Neurospora crassa OR74A: one gene and its partner. The protein of the gene in region 1 purifies or fractionates together with the protein of each later gene. This does not show direct contact. Links are inferred from orthologs where the notes say so. Each region holds a gene or a part of one and is shown on either strand. Other genes may lie near its edges.

Region 1 (3,324 bases):
ACCAGAGACGAAGCAAATGTGCACCTACAAGACCCACATCCGCGTGTGCCGCCGGTGCAGCAGCGAGGACACAGTCCTCATTTCAGAACAACTCTGTTCCGTAGCCAGGAACAGCGGCAGCGGCATCTTTGGCTCCTGCCTATCCGGGGTTTCCGGCCAACGAGATCAGACGGGGTACAAGTGCTGGCAATGCCAGGACGAAGCAACCCTCCCGGCATCCCGGTCTCGAAGCAGTAGTGGCAGTGGGAGTAGCACCTCGAGTGGCAGCACAGGCGGAGGACCAAGGAGGAGGGGGAGCAGTGTTAGTGTTAGTGTACCCATTGGAGCGCAAGGTGTGAACTCCATGTATGGATACAACAACAATAACAACTATCACCATGGAGTTGGAGGGGGTGGTGGCAGTGGTGGTGTTTATGACAGGGGGCAGCAGCAGAGACGGATCTCGGTATCAGGACAGACGACGACGACGACGACGACATTGATGATGTTGCAAGGACAAGGGAGGGAGTACGTGCCTGGACCGGCAGCATTACCGGTATCAGAGCAACAGCAACAGGGACAACAACAGGATCTCGAAAGGAGGTTGAGGAGGATGGGGAAGATGAGGGCAGACTTGGGGAGATATGATGGGCGGTTCATATAGATCAGATTGTTCGCGTGGGTATTGCTGGCATTGGTCATGTCATTTGTCGTATCGATCCGAGGCATCCAAGGCACTCGGTTCCTGGCAGCCATGTTTGTTAAGTGTGGATCCAGTCGAGCCGATCTGGACCCTGGAACAGAAGAATGCTGGACCCTTTACTTGTTGGTAGAATAGCTAGAACTTATAAAGGTGTTAAGTGGTATGGCGTTGAGGAAACAAATCGTAAAAGCAGACCATCAGTTCCGTATATAGTCGACTAAAATAAGCTATTGATGAACAATTATCCTCTGGGCGCGATGTGAGTAGTCGAAGATGGAGCTGGAGGTAGGCCGCCCGTTGTTACGCGCACCTGAACCTCAACTGAAGACTGACAAAATTTTAGTGGGTCCAAAGCGTCATTGTGGGGGAACTTCCGCTAGGTGGGAGCTTATCGGCTGGCGCTACGCTTTATCGATGGGGTTCTTGCCTCTTGTCCCCGCAGCCGGGGCCTCATTGGATGGTCTGTGCTCGGCATTTTTTTGCGCTAGCTACTGCAGAGCTTTTGAAGATTTCTGGAGACGGGACCACTCAGCTGCTCTCGGCACAGGTTCGTGGAGCTTTCAGCGAGCGGATCCAATGATCAAAACCATCCATCGTGGATTGTCATCGAATTTCTCCATCACTCACGTTACCCATCTTTTCGTCTCGCTCCAGTCTTCGTCCACTCACTTACCCCAGCTTCCGTCCTCGACAACACTCCTCTGTCCCAACGCGCAACAACACGATCGGACCCGAATTTCCAATCTACAGTCAACAAACTACCCCCCACCAAATCCGTCAAGATGATGTCTCTTCGTGCTGTCGCGCGCACCACTGCGCCCCGTGCTCTCCGTGCCGTCTCTGCTTCTCCCATCACCCTCGGCCGCGCCACCGTCCGCGCTACCAGCAACGTTCTCAGGACCCAGCTCCCCCAGAAGGCTTTCTCGACCACCGTCTTCCGCGCTGCCGCCACCGAGATCGACTCTGAGCTCTCCGAGAAGCTCTCCACCGAGATTGGCTATGAGCAGGACATTGCCTCCAACGAGCCCGTTCCCGCCACCGTCAAGGATTTCCTTGAGAACGGCCCCTTTGAGCTTGTCGATACCCCCGGCAAGGAGGACGTTGTCCTGAAGCGCACCTTTGGCAACGAGCAGTAAGTTGAACCCCCAACATGACTTCGATCAAGAACCATGCGCTGACCAAGGTACGCCAGGATCACCATCTCCTTTTCCATCGCCGACCTCCAGAACTACGAGCCTGGCATGTTCGACGAGGACACGGCTCTCGGTGACGAGGAGGGTGCCCAGAACGAGGAGGACATGGGTGAGGACGGCGGCGCTCCCGTCCGTCTCAACATCGTCATTGAGAAGCCCAGCAAGGGTGCCCTCAACATCGACGCCGTTGCCCAGGACGGCTCCATTGTTGTCGACAACATGTTCTACTACCACGACGCCAAGCTCGCTCACGGTGAGAGCGCCGAGACCCAGCACGCTGCCCAGGCTGTCTACCCTGGCCCTCCCTTCGGTACCCTCGACGAGGATCTCCAGGTCCTCATGGAGCGCTACCTCGAGGACCGTGGCATCAACCAGGCCCTTGCCCTCTTCGTTCCCGACTACCTTGACATGAAGGAGCAGAAGGAGTACCTCAGGTGGCTCAACAACCTCAAGGGCTTCGTCGATGCCCAATAAATGGGGAGAGATGAGATACTGTCACGAGGAATGGAAAATCCAACAAGGAAAAGGCGAGAGGATTCGAGGCTGCGGGACGGCTTTTTGATTCCGCAGCTGATGTATGACATGTACCTGTAATTATATCCCACGTTTGATATCACGACTCCATACCAAAATTTGTATAATGCAACAGAAGCCGATGGGAACGGGTTGTGTAAGGATGAAGATGCTGTAATAGGACCAACGTCCAAGTGGACAAGACAGTTTTTAAGTTGATACAGCACCAGAGATATGACCGCAAAGGGTCCAAGTCATGAGGTGGTATGGCAAATCTTGCCCATTCTCGTTCTATGCCATGCTACCCTTGCTCGCCTTGGAAGCCAGCGGTCATGCCATTGGTTGAACTGGGGTCACTGATCTTTTAGCCCAGCTGAATCGAACTTCAACTTTGTCCATCTCCTTTCTCCGTCTTACCTTTTTTCCGTTGCAGAAACATTATACTTTGTCAGAATGTGCTTGTGATATGACATCTTTCTAATCAATTTTTGCGTTCGTTTCCGAGGATTCCGGTTACATTCATTTCATTCGTACATTTTGTCCTTAATTCACGCAGTCACTGCAACTCAATATTCGCATTGTGGTGAACATCTTGCCTCAGAACACCATCAAACTGCAGACACGCAGTCAGAACCCGCTACTCAATACCTAACCTTTACAAACGCCTCTAAATAGCACCGTTGATATGACTACAACATGGATCTGAAACACGCACACCAGGCCCAGTACAGCGGCGTACACCAAACAGACGACGATGACGACTATCATCCCCCCCTACCTGTCTCGAGTTCCTCCCGGACCCAAGCCAACGACGACCACCAACCATCAGAAGACGAAGAAGCCCAACTGCTATCGACAGAAGACTACATTGAGCAATTCGAATTCGACGACAACACCGACACATCATCGCCACCTTTCTTGACGACCAAACACTCG
Region 2 (4,466 bases), on another chromosome or scaffold:
TCGTCGGAACCCATGGGTAGTCTTGATTCCTCGTCTAGAAGGGACAGGATACCAAGTTTGCCCTCGATAAGGTCAATGCAGGGCTGGTTGTCAGCAAAGTCGATGAAGGTCCAGTCAATCTGCTCCCTAAGGTATTCCTCCTGCTCCAACTTGAACACATGCTGGTTGAACTCCTGCTGAAGCTTCTCGTTGGCGTAGTTGATACAGAACTGCTCGAAGGAGTTCTTGGCGAAATGCTCGAAGCCGTAAATATCCAGAACACCAATGAAGGAAGTGACTCTGGTGAGGACCTCCTCCGAAGCAAGACTGTGATTGATGATTTCGACGAGCCAGTCGAACAGACTCGAGTAGATGTACTTGGCAACGGAATCTCGGACAACGATAGCCTGCGCCTGGGTCAAGTTGGACACGATCTTTTCACCACGAGTGACCAATTGCTTCTTGACGATCCACTTGGCAAATTCTGGAGCATCGATGCCGAGAATCTCGCAGGCCTTAACCAGCGATGGTTCGGAAGGATCGAGGGAACTGTCGTTTCGCATGGCACCAATCTTGACATTACCCAAGTGGAGGAGACCAGCCAGAAGCTTGAAGATCTCCGTTTGCTTGCCCTCGTCAACACCGATGGTCTTCAAAGATGCCTTGGTCGCATTGAACTCGGCCTTGTCATCGACGCCATCGATCGTGGGGGTGTTACCCTGGTTGAGGTACTCGAACTGTTCAACGGGAAGCAAGCCCAATTCCTGGCGCTCCTTGTCCGTCACACCAGCAACCAGCTGGTAGAAAATATGGTAGTTTCTTTCCTTCAACGGTTGGAAAACCAACCTCGATCGCTCGAGAAGGTAGGTCCTGATCTTGGCACCGATAATGTTGGTGGCCTTGTCAAACATGATTTCGATGTATTTACCGAATCGCGAGGAGTTGTCGTTTCTTGTCGTCTTTGCGTTACCAAAAGCTTCCATAATCGGGTTCGTAGCCAAGATAGCCTCCTCGGTCTGGCTCATAGACTCGTGGCCACCCTTCTTTACTCGTGATCCGGGGCTGTCGGGCGATTCTCTTGTCGCGAAGTATCTCATAATGTACTTGGCACTGACAGTCTTACCGGCACCGGACTCACCAGACACGACAATGGTCTGGTTCTTGCCATCGCGCAACATGTCCCTATTGTTATGTCAGCGATTACAAGTCAACATGAATCGTCAAATTGGCAAAGAGCCCATACATGAACGCTTCCTCAGCAATGGCGAAAAGATGGGGAGCTTGGGTTGCTCTTTGCTTCCCGGCATAGACTTGAACCATGCCTGGGACATAAAGAGAGTCAACCCGCGCGAACGGGTTTGTAGCTATTAGAACAATACCCGAGTATGTGTAGATTTCCTTCTGGGCATATCGAAGGCGGATAGCCTGAAGCACTAAGCACAGCACATGCTATCAGCATCACGTTCTCGGAGTGCGCCCGATGGCGGGGCGAGTCAGCGCAAAGGTGTGTGTATATTTACCAGCAGGCTCGTTCAGATGTGATAGGTTCGTCAAGTCATCACTGGCTTCGAGCATTGTTGGGTTCATCAAGGGCGGTAGCGACTCATGGCCGCCTGACTGGAGGGCCTCGAGGGAGACCTCCACGGTCTTAGTCTGCAGGCAGTAACACATGTTAGCATCTTGAAGCGCACCAGCCCGCAAAGCACGTAAACCAAAGCACAAAAGTCGGAATATGCCGAGACTTGGGAAAGCATAAGCTACCTACCTCGCCATTCTCGCACTCGAAGATAAGAGTGACCTTGTTGCCGTCTACTGTCTTCTTGACTACTTCAGAGGCAACCCAACCCTCGGTAGGATCGGGCTGCCAGGCTCGAGTGCCAACATCATAGCTCTCCGACATTGGATGCGCTTGTATCGGTGTATTCTCGAGGGAGAGAAAATCGGCGCGAACCTGCGAGTCAGGAGCAAGGGGGAAGAGATGTTGTGGTGGGATTTGGATGGCTTCAAGAAGCCAGTTCTAGCGGCGGAACGGCCAGCACGGCTAGGGGCGACGGGGGTGGATAGGGATAATGGTGGACCGTGTCTGTTATGGCGGACGCAACGACCGGAATGAAGAGCGGTCCAGGATGCTAGTTCGGTCGCGGAAGCTTGGAATCCAAGGGCCGGCGGGAGTGTGGTGCTGGCGAAGACAACATTCACGAAGGGAATGGAAGAGGGGGAAATTAGATACAAAAATAGGGATTGGACGTGGAGCAACACATTAAAGAAGTATAGAAAGATGTTGCTATCGTGCGGGCAACGGAGCCCAAGCCGACAAACAAGGTGGTCGAAGACGATGTAGGTCTAGGAGTTCGAAAGGGGGTTCGGCTCGTGTCGTCGGACCGATGGGAGTGTAGCGCGGGCTGTTCTTGGACGAAACAGCTGAAAGATGTTGTTGTTGCTTTTGTTGTTTGCTTTGCGTGCCCAAGGGAGCTAGCTGGTAGGTGTTTGGCTGACCGGGAATAGGTCAGGTCCTGTCACTGTGTGTAGGACAGGAAGGTTGTGGAATGCCGTATAAACGGGGCGGGCAGAACGGGCGGAGCGGGGACCCAACACACTGCCTTGCGGTGGGAGAACGGATTCGTCGAGCGGTCGAGTCGGGTTCTCTTAACGGTGGCAGCCTCTCTGTATAGAAGTGGCTGATGGTCGAGATAGCACCTGTGGATGAGGGAACGTCCTTGATGTAGTAGCCTGTCGGGCCGGTGTGGTCAACAACCAAGTCAAAAGTCGGGGTAGGCGAGAAGGCGGGACGACGAGACGGGATGTCGTTGAAAGTTTAGGGGTAGGCTTCCGCTTGTAGTGTAGCTGAGGTGCCCGGTGATGATAGAGCACTGGCGGGCCGTCGTGGTGGCAGGCTAACAGCCCGGCCGACGTTCACTTCCGTTGACAGGGGCCCCGTTGTTGTGGATGTTGAGGTGGTCGGTCTTTGGCGGCCACCGCCCAATTGGGTGCGTCGCTGGGCTCGTTGCATTAACACCGAAGCACGGACTCTTTCGTGGGCTTGGGGAGCTGGACTCCATGGAGCCCCTCCAATGAGCCGTAATTCCCAAATGACCTGGACAAGCAGGGCTCTCCTTAAAAGGGGGCACTAACCAACACTGCGAAGAAGATTACATACCTAGAGGTATGCTTGGGAATCCCGCGACTCTACATAAGTGGAAAGCTACATAGTACACAGACAAGGCGAAGAAGAACAATGGGTGACTGGCACCTCTAAGCAGCGTATAAGGGTTACCTTTGTCTTGTCCGGAGAGGTGTCCAGTGGAAGACGACATGATGTACAAGATGGGTCACGATGTCCAAGTCTACACTCTACCTTGAGATGTACAAATGTGTCTCTGGAGGCTCACGCCAATGGGTGAATAACCGTCAGGATATCCTATGAGGACGACCATGTTTCTCCTCCTGATCTATAGCCCTCTTGATTTGTATGGCTTCATCGTTCTCATTATGTACGGTCTTTGGTCTTCCCCTGAGTTTCTGTATTTCTCCCCGACAGCTCACCGGCGCCCCTCATCAGGGTAGCATTTCGTTTACACAACTCCCTGAAGGAACTCACGGAAGTAAGGCCCAATCTTACCAGACTCCCATGGCCAATTGTTTGCACTGGTCCGTTCGTTCGTTCATTTGTTCGTTCGATATGCCATCCAACTGGGTCCCCGTCTGGCCCGTCTGCCCGCTTGTTGACAGTTGAAATGCATTAACCTGTCCGCCTGAAAAGGAGAGAGATGGGCAAACTCAAAATGGGGCATAGTGTAAATACGTACCAATACCTCTATGGCATTGATGGGTGGACCGGGCTGAGTCTGGCACCATGACAATCAATTGCATTTGCGTTCAGTTCCTTCTTCTCTTCTTTCTGGAATCTGCAGGGGTAAAAAGAGCGCCAGCGAATGGCGGGTCGTCAAAGACTGTGGAAACTGTTGGAGACTACCTACTTACGGGCCCCACCAGGCCCCCCGTGCGGCCGGCAGCCCGAGTATCGGGGCCTGGGACTTGGGAGGAAAAAAAAAGGGGAGGGGGGGGGGGGGGGGGGGGGAGAAAGGCGGTGCTTTTGGTGGTTTGCCGCCGACTCCGCGTCGTCGCCGCCTTTTGTCTGCTCCGTGGCCGGATTGACGACGAGTGACTACTGTTACAATTCAGAGTCAACACCGTCCCTCACTCGGACGTCATCCACCGGTGTGTTGGGAATGAGTCTGTTTCGGTGATAATGACACCCATGACGGTGACTGACATGATGCCGGCCCGATGCTGTTCTGCTTCGTGAGCAAACCGTTCTGTTTAATAATTCCATCCGCTGGTTAGTAAGGCAATTGAGATCTCGCTTGATATCAATTATCAGTTGTAGCTCTGAAAGGTTGAAGCACTTATCATTAACCCGCGACAGAAACGACACTGGATATAATGATGTCTTCCTTCCACCTTTAGGTCGGAACGGGAAGGCCACT

What was found.
Region 2: the proteins of NCU06086 (region 1) and NCU01440 purify together in Saccharomyces cerevisiae (affinity purification with mass spectrometry; 3 studies listed by BioGRID). This does not show direct contact. The link is inferred for Neurospora crassa OR74A from reciprocal best matches to the Saccharomyces cerevisiae genes MAM33 and MYO2.

The regions. Positions count from the first base shown.
Region 1 is NC_026507.1:1,859,830-1,863,153, forward strand, and holds NCU06086 (regulatory protein suaprga1), read left to right. Parts: upstream 1-1,261; 5' UTR 1,262-1,464; coding exon 1,465-1,814; intron 1,815-1,874; coding exon 1,875-2,349; 3' UTR 2,350-2,567; downstream 2,568-3,324. Other genes in the region: NCU17215 (hypothetical protein), read left to right, coding at 17-643; NCU06085 (LCCL domain-containing protein), read left to right, coding at 3,085-3,324. UniProt on the Saccharomyces cerevisiae protein: Not known. Binds to the sorting sequence of cytochrome b2.
Region 2 is NC_026505.1:4,738,471-4,742,936, forward strand, and holds the start of NCU01440 (myosin-2), read right to left. Parts: upstream 2,836-4,466; 5' UTR 1,880-2,835; coding exon 1,745-1,879; intron 1,633-1,744; coding exon 1,500-1,632; intron 1,413-1,499; coding exon 1,223-1,412; intron 1,162-1,222; coding exon 1-1,161. UniProt on the Saccharomyces cerevisiae protein: Myosin heavy chain that is required for the cell cycle-regulated transport of various organelles and proteins for their segregation.